3 linked regions of the Tribolium castaneum genome follow. The protein of the gene in region 3 purifies or fractionates together with the protein of the main gene of each other region. This does not show direct contact. Links are inferred from orthologs where the notes say so. Each region holds a gene or a part of one and is shown on either strand. Other genes may lie near its edges.

The links.
Region 1: the proteins of Ref1 (region 3) and P32 purify together in Homo sapiens (affinity purification with mass spectrometry; 3 studies listed by BioGRID and IntAct, with this or other methods). This does not show direct contact. The link is inferred for Tribolium castaneum from reciprocal best matches to the Homo sapiens genes ALYREF and C1QBP.
Region 2: the proteins of Ref1 (region 3) and regulator of nonsense transcripts 1 purify together in Homo sapiens (co-immunoprecipitation; 3 studies listed by BioGRID and IntAct, with this or other methods). This does not show direct contact. The link is inferred for Tribolium castaneum from reciprocal best matches to the Homo sapiens genes ALYREF and UPF1.

The regions. Positions count from the first base shown.
Region 1 is NC_087394.1:7,764,694-7,768,908, forward strand, and holds the start of P32 (complement component 1 Q subcomponent-binding protein, mitochondrial), read right to left. Parts: upstream 2,917-4,215; 5' UTR 2,821-2,916; coding exon 2,619-2,820; intron 2,574-2,618; coding exon 2,423-2,573; intron 2,376-2,422; coding exon 2,182-2,375; intron 1-2,181. Other genes in the region: Nop60B (H/ACA ribonucleoprotein complex subunit 4), read left to right, coding at 3,940-3,952, 4,109-4,215.
Region 2 is NC_087397.1:527,752-531,924, reverse strand, and holds the start of regulator of nonsense transcripts 1, read right to left. Parts: upstream 2,850-4,173; 5' UTR 2,517-2,849; coding exon 2,337-2,516; intron 2,285-2,336; coding exon 2,057-2,284; intron 2,013-2,056; coding exon 1,833-2,012; intron 1,787-1,832; coding exon 1,574-1,786; intron 1,522-1,573; coding exon 1,130-1,521; intron 719-1,129; coding exon 1-718. Other genes in the region: sodium channel protein Nach, read left to right, coding at 3,760-3,879, 3,930-4,090, 4,137-4,173. UniProt on the Homo sapiens protein: RNA-dependent helicase required for nonsense-mediated decay (NMD) of aberrant mRNAs containing premature stop codons and modulates the expression level of normal mRNAs.
Region 3 is NC_087395.1:19,979,729-19,982,791, reverse strand, and holds Ref1 (THO complex subunit 4), read left to right. Parts: upstream 1-1,212; 5' UTR 1,213-1,324; coding exon 1,325-1,507; intron 1,508-1,612; coding exon 1,613-2,036; intron 2,037-2,111; coding exon 2,112-2,209; 3' UTR 2,210-2,452; downstream 2,453-3,063. UniProt on the Homo sapiens protein: Functions as an mRNA export adapter; component of the transcription/export (TREX) complex which is thought to couple mRNA transcription, processing and nuclear export, and specifically associates with spliced mRNA and not with unspliced pre-mRNA.

The sequences.
Region 1 (4,215 bases), on a different chromosome or scaffold from region 3:
TTTTCAAGCATGTAAGCGCGTTTCTGAGATAAAACCTTAATCTGTTTGCGAGTTTTCCGTATAATTGGACACAAAAATCGCAAAAGGTAAAAAATGATATTATTTTTACCAATTTTAACCGTTTTATTAGTACGTTTTTCGACTAGAAATATACAATTATTTTTCAAAACGTAAGAAAAAACATCGGAAATCAATAAACTAGCCTGAAAATAACGTATTCTTTCTAAATTTCATTAAACTTGTAGCGTTTTTGGGAGTTTTAACAGTTTTTATAAACAAGAAACGCATTTATCTTGCAAAGTTAGTTACAAAGAAGTCGAAGGATTACCGAACAAAGCCAAAATTAGATCAAAATGACATAATTTTTACCATTTTAGCACGTTTCTCGACCAGAAATATTCAAAACAAAAGAAAAAAGTTGTGAAATCACTAAGTCAGCCTAAAAATAACGAAATTTCAATAGACTAAATAAAAAATAGACTGGTGATCACTGTAGCGTTTTTGGGAGTTTTAAAACACAGTTATCTCTCAAAATTTGGTCACAATGAAGCCGAAAAATTACCAAACAAAGCCAAAATTAGATCAAAATGACATTTTTTTACAAATTTTAACCATTTTAGCACGTTTTCAAACAAAAAATATACAATAATTTTTCAAAACGTTATAAGAAAAAGCTGGGAAATCACTAAATTAGTCTGAAAATAGCGTACTTTTGAGAAATTTCGCTAAACTGAATAAAAAAATAGACTGGTGATCATTGTGGTTTTTTAGAAGTTTTAAAAAGCAGTTATCTCAAAATTTGGTTACAAAAAAGCCGAAGAATTACCAAACAAACCCAAAATTAGGTCACAATGACATTATTTTTAGCAATTTTAACCATATTAGCACGTTTTTCGACCATAAATAACAATTATTTTTAAGAAAAAATATGAGAAATCAGTAAATTAGCCTGAAAATAGCTGAATAAACTGAATAAAAAATAGACTTGTGATCACTGTAGCGTTTTTGGGAGTTTTAAAACACAGTTATCTCTCAAAATTTGGTCACAATGAAGCCGAAAAATTACCAAACAAAGCCAAAATTAGATCAAAATGACATTATTTTTACAAATTTTAACCATTTTAGCACGTTTTCAAACAAGAAATATACAATAATTTTTCAAAACGTTATAAGAAAAAGCTGGGAAATCACTAAATTAGTCTGAAAATAGCGTACTTTTTGAGAAATTTCGCTAAACTGAATAAACAAATAGACCGGTGATCATTGTAGTTTTTTGGTTTTTGGAAGTTTTAAAAAGCAGTTATCTCAAAATTTGGTTACAAAAAAGAATTACCAAACAAAGCATCAGGTCAAAATGGCATTATTTTTAGCAATTTTAACCATATTGGCACGTTTTTCGACCATAAATAACAATTATTTTTAAGAAAAAAGATGAGAAATCAGTAAACTAGCCTGAAAATAGCGTGTTTTTTTCCGCAATTTCGCTAAACTGAATAAAAAATAGACGATCATTGTATTGTTTTTGGGAGTTTTAACAGGTTTTCTAGATTACAAACGCAGTTGTTTTGCAAAATTTAGTTACAAGAAGCCGAAGAATTGCAAAACAACGCCAAAAAGCAGTTTTTTTTTCGAATTACAATCCTCCAAAACTAGTTGAAAAAAACACCAAATCATACTGACCATGATATTCTATTTGAGATTGATTTCCTCGATTTCATTCTTAATTGAGCCAAAGACGCATTTATTTTGCACATTCTTGTCTAATTATTGCCTTTTTTTGAGCGTTTCAAAACGTTTTTTCGTCAAAAACTTAATTATTTCGAAGAAAATCGTCAAAAATTAACCAAAAAAGGATGTATTAGAGCTAAAATCCTAAAATCTTTCAGTAAGGTTAAAACATCCCAATTTTTTGCGTTTTCGGGGGATTTAGGACATTTTGTTGCGAAAAATAAGCCGAAAATTTGCTAAATCAGGTTGAACTTTTTTCAGCTAAGGGCTTAGTTTATTCCAAGATTTCGCATATCTTCACAAAAATGCTATCATATATGATTTTTTAGTGTTCGAAGCGTTTTTTAATCCTCTAAAACCGAATAAAATTATCACCAAATGGCGTTTCATTCGATTAGATTTTGAGCCGAAAGTTGTGCAAAATCTTGTGAATTAAAAACAGAAGTGTCTTACTAGAATCTTCCTCTTGCTCATCACTTTCTAAAAATGAGCACAAAACACTGAAAGTGGTCGACCCTCGCACAATTTCAATTCGAAATTCAGGCTTTGACTTTAATTCTCCAAATTCTGGATTGTCCATCGTCGAATCCACTTTAGGTAGTTCATCAGAGTCTACTGTGTGGTTCACATTGAAAGTAATTTTTATCCTAGAAGTTGCCACTTCATAACAAGAAATGAGACGCATTTGACTCACGTTTCATTTTCAACTTTTTTGTTCAAAGTGACTTCAGACCCGTTCAACCCCACTTTAAAACCCTCAAGCTCGGCTGGAAGCGTCACCGACTTCTGGGCCTTCCTCTCCAGGACAATCTCCTCAGTGAGAAACTCAACCAGTTCACGTTCGGCTACAAGTTTGTTATTCCTCCAACTTATTGGGCTCACTTACGTACCTTTACTGTGTGCATGCTGGTGCCTGCTCATGCACCCACAAGTGCACAACTTGCTCAGTTTGTTTTCGGACTCATTGCGATTGCACATGTACCAAAGATTGCGCGCAAGTTGCCGCTGCTGGAAAGTGTTGGACACTTTTTTAACCGGACTCAGGAGCGTCTTGAAGCTGAGTCTGGACGCAACTCGAAGCAAATTATTCATTTTTATACTTAGTTTAGGCGAAATGCGTGAAAAAACCGGCCACAACACGTGCTATCAAAAAAACTGTCAGAAAAAAGCGACGCGCAACCCAACGCTACGAAAATCCCCAGAATGGCACCAACCCACAAACGATAATCACTAAATCGTCACCAAATTCCTCATAGGGTTGCCACACCTGTCCGGTTTTCACCCAGATGATTGTCCGGTGTCCAGATAAAATGTTAAACCGGACAATAATTGGCCAGTTTTCTTATAGTAATTAAAATTTTGTGGTCTAAAATTAAAATTAATGAAAAATTTAGAAAACTCTTCGATAGAACGATTTTTAATATTTAAAAAAAATCCTGGATTGAATTGGAAAAATGTAGAGTAATCAACTTCTAAAAATTGAAATTACATTTTGCAAACGGGTTACCGTATATAATTTTGCAAAAAAAACAGCTATAGAAGGGTACTTACAGTTGCGTCATATGTTATATTTCTTCTAAAACTATTGGCATTTTTTTTTAAGTTTTGTAATTAACTAACACATTCTGAGTTATTTGCCAAAAAGTTCGTAAAACTTTGCTAGAGTGAGTTTAAATTTTTTTTCTTAATTTTTGTGAAGGTAAGTGCCTTGATTATTAAAATTTTGAGCAAAAAATTTCAAAATTTTAAATGAAATAAAAAATGGACAATAGACTTTTGGTTTTTGATAAATATTTTTTTAATGTAAAACTTTATATGCCTCTGTACCTGGAACCGTTGACCGAAGCGGCTCCGGGTTTTGGCAAGAAAATAGATAATTTTAGGCGCTATCTGATGCTTTTTTGATTTTAGTTCTAAGTCTCAGTGTTTCCGAAAAAAAACACAAAAAAAAAGATTGCAATTTTTACATTTTTTAAATTTTTAAACACCGATTACAGCGCATAAAAACGCCAATGTTTACCAAAATAAAATAAAAAAAATAAAAGAAAAATCGTTTAAGACTCTAAATAACCGAAAAAACATTTCCCGCCATTTATTTCATTTAAATTTTTTTCAGTAGCGCCACTTAAAATCTGTCAAAATTGTTGTTAGTTGTCAAAAAACTAACCCTACTTTCTGTGTCGGATGCACGTGTTGGTTATTTTCTAAGCGATGTCTGAGTTTGGTAAGTTATTGTTTATTATTATCTTTAACGAGGCTTTATTTCGTTCTTTGATAAATAATTAGTGGTAGAAATGTATTTAGAGTTTCAAAAATAATGATTTTTTTCAAAAAACCGGCCGCTTTGTCTTATCGTTATTTAGAACGCAATTTTGTGCAGAGGCGGATACGCCCGTTAGGGAGAAGAAAAAGAAGAAAAGCAAGGGCGACAAAGACTTGGGGAACCTTCAAAAAGGCTCCGAATTTGCAGTGGAGCCCTCCTCAGTG
Region 2 (4,173 bases), on a different chromosome or scaffold from region 3:
ACCAACCAAAATCAATTGTTTCACTCCTAGTACCACCGGTACCATACATTCGGGTTCAGTCGCTTGCATACTTTCATCAATCAGAATCGAATGAAATTTCAAACGAACCAATCGTGGATCACCTGCCCCCACACAAGTACAACAAATAACATCGGCAGCTTCGAGTAATTCTTTCTCAGCCAATTTTTTCAACATTCTGTATCGTTTCTCATCAACTGAACTCAACTCTCCAGTCTCATCTTTCAACTGTTGCAACTTCTGGAGTTCAGTATTGGCTTCCATTTTACGTATCTGATTATGCAATGCAAGAAAACTCACAGGCGAATCAATCGCTTCGCGTGATTTCGCACACAATCTTACAACTTTTAGATTAGTTTTGTGAATTTTTTCGGTAAGTTGGTCAACTGCCGTATTACTGGGAGCACAGACTAGGACTGGACCGCCGTTTTGTTTCACCAATTGATAGACGATGGTGGCGGAAGTTACGGTTTTTCCCGTTCCGGGAGGACCTTGGATGAGGGAGAGTGGACGCTGGAGGGCATGTTTGACGGCGTAGACTTGCGAACGGTTCAAGTCGGGAAGATTAGGTGCCGAAAAATGTTTAGGGAGGTGACAACGGAAAAGGACCTCTTCGACCTCGTGGCCGAGGAGGCGGTGGTAGATGTAGGCGGAAACGGATGTATCGTCAACGGCGAATTTTCGCAAGGCGAGTTGCATCCTGCAATTAACAATAAAGGCGAGCTCAGAAAAAAACGACGTGAAAACTTGTTTTCACATAATTATTTTTTTAATTAAATATTCTTAGAAACCTTATAAAAAAATTACCACATTAATATAGCTTGAAATATCAACGCTTAAAATTAACATCTTACAAAGATTTTTTTAACATTCGGAAATAAGAAGTGAAAATGCGTCACTTCTCTCATGCTTTTTTTTTAATTACTGTGATTTTTAAAATAAAGTTTGATTGTAATATTATACTTATATTTAATGTGAAAGTTTATAACAATGGTACTTTCAACGTTTGACTACTAACAGTAAAACATTAATTAAAAAAATAAATAAAAAATGTGATACATAAAGAGATTAACGTGATTATTTCTGTTTCTATCACAACAACGAAATTTACCTGTCAAAACTGGTACTTTTCCAAATGAAATCCACCACAAAGTTGCTGTTACAATCGGTGGGAGCCCCATTTCCGTTCTTCAACTCAATGCCAATATCCTCTCCGTAATTATCAGGAACTTTGATAACGTGTCCCACCCCCGCCCATGATTTATGCATTTCTCCCACGTATCTAAGTCTCAACTCATCTCCGTGCATTAATTTCATATCCCCGTCAGTTTTAGCAAGAGTAAAATACGCAATTGTTTTCTTATTCAAACCCACATCCCACCTAACTTCAATATTTTCCTGAGTCTGAGACTCCTTCAATCTTTTATCATAATCAGCTTCAAGCTTAACAAGAGGACCAAAAATGTTTTGGTACTGATAACCGTCCTCATATCGCAATAAAACCTACCAAAAAAAATTATAATAAATACGTTAGAACTGTGCAAACAAGACTAACTTGTTGCGGTTCTTCGTCAACTCCTGGCCGTTCCAAATCCTGGAACGTGGCATCAACATTATCTTTCCAAAGTTCTTCAAGTTTGTTGATTTGTTGGGCTGAGATTTGGCGCGCTCGCAGTTGTTCCTGTTCTGATGGTATTTTTACAAGCCATGTGAGAAAACACCGGTCGGTAATGAGTGGTTTCCATTGGTCTTGATCCCAGTTCATGTCCTATTAAAAGCTTGAAAACTGTCCTATTTTAAAAGCAATGACTTACTTTAAGTGAGTTTTGGGCGGCACAAGGTTGGCGGCAAAGTAGCACCACAACAGAGTCAGCTTTGGCAGGAATGAACCCCAAAACAAAAACATTGCGGACGCCACAACTGTAACATTCAAGGATTGTCTCGCCCAAAGGGCCGTCCTTGTGTAAGGTCACTTCCTTGTGTTTGGCTCGGACCTAAACCCCAATCAAAAAACAGTTTCCAAGTTGAAATTCCTCACCAAATGGTTGATTATGTGGCTTCCTGAGGTGTTTCCTCTCCCGTTACAAAACCACTTTTTGCAGCAGTTGCACATGACAACGCAATTCGGCTCATGAATGCCGCAGTACTTGCACGCGTAGTTCGGGAGCTCCTTGCTGTTGAAATACTCCTCATCCTCTTCCTCGAATTGCAGTTCCCCTAAAGCACTCGTCGCATTGGCGATTTTGTTGTTGATGTTGTTGTTGAGCTAAAACAACAACGTCATACGACACTGAACCAGGGGGCGACCTTGCACTAACCTGTACACCGGAAACTTTGGGGCCCGCGTGGTCGTGCTGCGAGGCTTGCGTTTGCGATGGAATTGTGAAATCGGTGAATTCGCATTCGGATCCTTGGGTGTCAGCCCCGATCAAGTCGTTTTCTTCGGTCTCTAAAAACGTGAGAGTTTGCGAACTGGGGCCGTATGCGTCGACACTCATCTTGGAGATTTCGTCGCGAACGAATTGAAGCACGGGTTTATTCACGTTTACTGATGAAACACTTTTAACACTTCAATTGATGACAACTCGACTATGGTTACTTTAAAATTTCTACATTTTTCTCCTGGCAAGCGCCATATTTTCCTGATTAATCATTTGTTTTTTTATCGTCATTTCTCTTTCCGAAGCATAATTGACGGAGCGGGAAACTTAAACACTCGTGCTATCTTTTTCAGTTTTTAGCGCACTGATCTTTTTTATGGCCTCAAAATTAAAAAGTGGTTTAGGAAATAGATTATTGCACAACCTTATTGTCTAATTTAATCCCTAAGCTTTTTTTCGTTGGTTGGCACGGTGTTATCATTGTGGTTACCATCTTATCGGAGTGAGACACGTATCGCAATCTTTTAAGTTAAAGAGAGATAAGCATATGTTTGATTGTAGAAGTGGCTAAGGCTGCGTCACTTTATGATTTGATTTTTCACTTTTTTGTAAATTTTACATTTAAACATTATTTTTATTATAAAATTATAGCATAAAGTTTATTGATTTTTCGGTTTTTATTCAACATTCAACACATGACTGCAAAAAAGAGGCATATCAAAATAAAAAAAACACATTTTTCAAAAACAGCCGATTTTTCAGTGAAATTTTATCGGTAATAAGTCAAAAACATAAAATGATGTTCGTTTTAAAAGAACGTAAATTTACGAATGTTTTTGTCGAAATAAATAAAACTAAAAAACGTAATAAGTTTATTGAGTAGATGACCAATAAAACAACTGAGCATTTGGTTTTGCCTACCTAATTATTAAATTAAAAATGGACGAAAAATGGCGAAATTATTATGATTTATGATTATTGAATTTGATATTGCTATTACAAACTTTATCCATAAAAATAGAACGTGGACTCAATAAAAACATTATCAAGAAATGACTGTATTTTATTAAATTAATAGAAATCACACATGCTCTTTATTACAACTGGCACTCCTTATTTTTTAATTCTTCTCATGTTTAAGTAGCTTGCGGTTACTTAAATGCTCACGTATCATTCTGGTTTCCCACAGATACATAATAAATATTACGATGATATAATTGATAGTTTGAAAACTGTTAACTTTTTATTAGGTTTTTGTACAGCGACAATTCAACACATCTATTAATAATTTATTAAAGTTTTACTGCATTATGACCCAACTCATAAATAGTATTGATTACAAATTCCCAACTACACTACAATGAGTATTGTTACAAAATATTTCTTAAACACGTCTCTACATGGCTTGCATTTCATAGCTGATAAGAGATTCCACTGGACTGAAAGATTTTTTTGGACAATATGTGTCCTAACTTCTTGGGTAAATCCCACAAATCGTCAAATTTTTACCACAATAAAATAGATTCACAGGCCGCATCGATTATGCTAATGTTTAACGCACTAGACCAGTATCAAAACCAAAAAATATCCTTTTCAGTGGACACATCTTACTTAAATTGGCAAACAAACTTTCCTTCAATTGTTATTTGCGAACGATCAAATCCAAAAAAAATGCTCGAAGCTAACAAGAAGTAAGTTAATTGTGATTTTCTTTGTTATAACTCTCTCTGCTCGAAGAATTTTCGGTTCCATATCTCAACAGTTCCCCAAACTC
Region 3 (3,063 bases):
GATCCTTTAAATTATTATGCTGAGATCTTTAATCTCAGTGAATGTATTTTTGTATATAACCCAATAAAACTATAAAATCAAAAATATGTTAGGATCATCTGGTGCTTTACAGTTTTCTCTGTGCATGTGATTTTTTTCAGGATTATTCTACAATTCCTTACAATAAATATTAATTAATTAAAAAAATCAATATAATAATTAATTAACTAAATTTATAGTCTTAGGGACTAGTTACTGTACAAAGCCAAATAAAATTTAATTCAGGATTAAACTTCAGTGGTGGAGAACTTACGGATAAAACGAACTAGTTTTCCGTTCATAACGAACTTTTCACAGAATTTTGAGAAATATGTCGGGGTTGATAGTAAGTATTTAATATAATAGAGAAGTGTTAACTGATGAACAAATTATTAACTAACTAAAAATAAATATTTTTTGTGTTTTGACATCTAATTACTGTGTAATTAACTACTTAATCCAAACTTTTATTATTTTTTGGGATATTAGAGGTTGAAACTTTCACTTCAGCGTCTAAAAATTAATCAGAAACGCAATATCAACTAGGAAATTGGGATTGCGTCTTTTGAGTACTTTTCCCAAAGTTTATATGACTAACAGACGGTGATTTGAGCAAACGAGCGTATGCGAGTTACATAATATACACCCGAGAACTTTAAACGTTTTCGCGTGAGTGTTTGTTTTGTTGGAATTTTTAAATTAAATTAATATTTTTTTATTACATTTTTTAAATTTCTTTTAAATTTAAACGTGTTCACATTTGATTTTTTTTACTTTTAATGGATCAAATAAAGAAAGTCTAACATTACACAATATTTCAATTCTGCCAAAGATTCTTCAAACACTAAAATGTGTTAATGAGTCAATATAAATAAACATCTGTTTTGTATTGACAATATTTTAACATACATTAGGTAGAAGAACAAAATTTCATTTACAAATACCTACCTACATAAACTGGTAGAACAAAGTTTGAAAAAAATTGAATGTATAGGGAACCAATAATACAGCGGTGTTTTTACATTGGTGTAAATAGGTTACCTATTTCATAAACATAAAAATAAGTTTTTATTCTTTGTTTCTGTATTATGCTGAAAATGCAAAAAATTGCCTAATACATGCGGTCGTATTTTTTTTTGGTAAAATCCGGGCAGGTTCCTGTGTTGCCGACAGCGCAGTGACGTGGCGCATGCGCACAGCGTCTGTCGTTCATTTTGTACGCCATTTTGTCGTTGGTTGTGTGCGTTGCCGCCGGGTGTAGAAAAAGTGAATTTCTCAGTCAAATCAGCGTACAAAATCAGTAAAAATGGTCGACACAATTGAAATGAGTTTAGATGAGATAATAAAATCCAAGCCCCGGCGCGGCGGCCGTCGCGGAGGTCGCGGCGGAACCCGCGGGGGTGGCGCGCCAAGACGCGGCACGTTCCGAAGAGCCGGCGGCGTCCAAAGGGGCCGAGGACGCGGAGGAATAACGCGCCAGTACACCCGGGTAATTGTTTCTAACTATGTTTATACTTAAGCTGCCCCGCGATGGAAGCGGCTAGCGTGCATCCAGCCGGAGAGCCGGAATTTACCCCCATCCATGTTTGTTTAGGGAGATGTGAACAGTGCTTGGAAGCACGATCTGTTCGAGGGCTACGGCCCGCGTAAAGTGGCCGCGGCTCGGGCCGTTGTGCAGTCCAATGTGGGCCCCACTAAGCTCATGGTGGGCAATTTAGACTTTGCGGTCTCCGACTCGGATATTCAGGAATTGTTCGCCGAGTTTGGGCCGCTAAAGAGCGCCTCGGTGCACTATGACCGCTCGGGGCGGTCGCTCGGCACCGCTGATGTGATTTTCGAAAGGCGCACCGACGCTATTAAGGCCATGAAGCAGTACAACGGAGTGCCTCTCGACGGACGCGCCATGAACATTCAAATCATCACGTCGGAGATTCCGTCGCCGGTCAGGAGGCCCACGGGAGAGAGGAAGTTCCAAAGCAGAAGAGGGGCTGCACCTGCCAAGGGACGACCTAACAGAGGTACAATTACTTGACCAGCGGCGGCGACGCCTCCAACAGCCGGATTTTTCAACTAAACAAATGTTTGTTTGCCAGGTCGTGGAGGAGGACGAAGTTTCAGAAATCAAAAGAAACAACCGACAGCTGAAGAACTCGACGCTGAATTAGACGCCTACACCAAGGAGATGAAATAAAATAAGTGCTATTAATATCAGAGACGCTCAACGCGCCACTTTTTGTGACTTGTGTTTAGTTCTTTCGTATTTTTATTTTGTATTTTGATTGTAACATCGAGCCTTACATTTTATAAAAAATAACCACTAAAGTACGAGGATTACGTATGCGGTTCGTTTTTTCCACAACTAAATCTAGTGTTAGGCTGTTTTCTCTTGTTAATGTAAATTGTATTGATAGGAATAAATAAGAATTAAGTGTGACTTGTCGTTTCATTAGAAATTTTTTTTATTTATACATAAAACTGCATCAGCCAAATGTATCACATGACGTTAAGACCGAGTTGTATAAAAAATTAATCGCCTTCAATCTTGATTTAAAACCATAATAAATCTTGTAACAGTTGTCGCTAAAGGCACGTTGACACGGATCGATTTTAGTCGTTTATTTCAAGTTGAACAATAAAACTTCAACAAAAATCATCGTCAGAATCTTTGTTGTGTCTTAAGTGGATCAAGTTTTTTACGATGATTTCCATTAAAAATTTTCATCTTTAATTGAACAACTAAAGTGGGTCCGTGAGAACTTGCGTTTAGGGTTTATATTACTAAATATACGACAAAACAAATTACAAAAAGTACATCCAATCGAAGCGAGTGCACTCAACGTAATTTTCATCAATAAAGAATACTAAAAGAAAATAATAATTTATTAAGCAACAGTGTAAGATTAATAATTATAGTAACTGAGCTGTCTTGTGGCTGCTTGTAATGTTCACAATTTTGTATCAAAATTAAATTACATTAAGTTTTCTTAGTTCCTATAATTCAACTTTTTTAAATTCGCCTAGTATTTTGTGTGAATATCCTTGTTC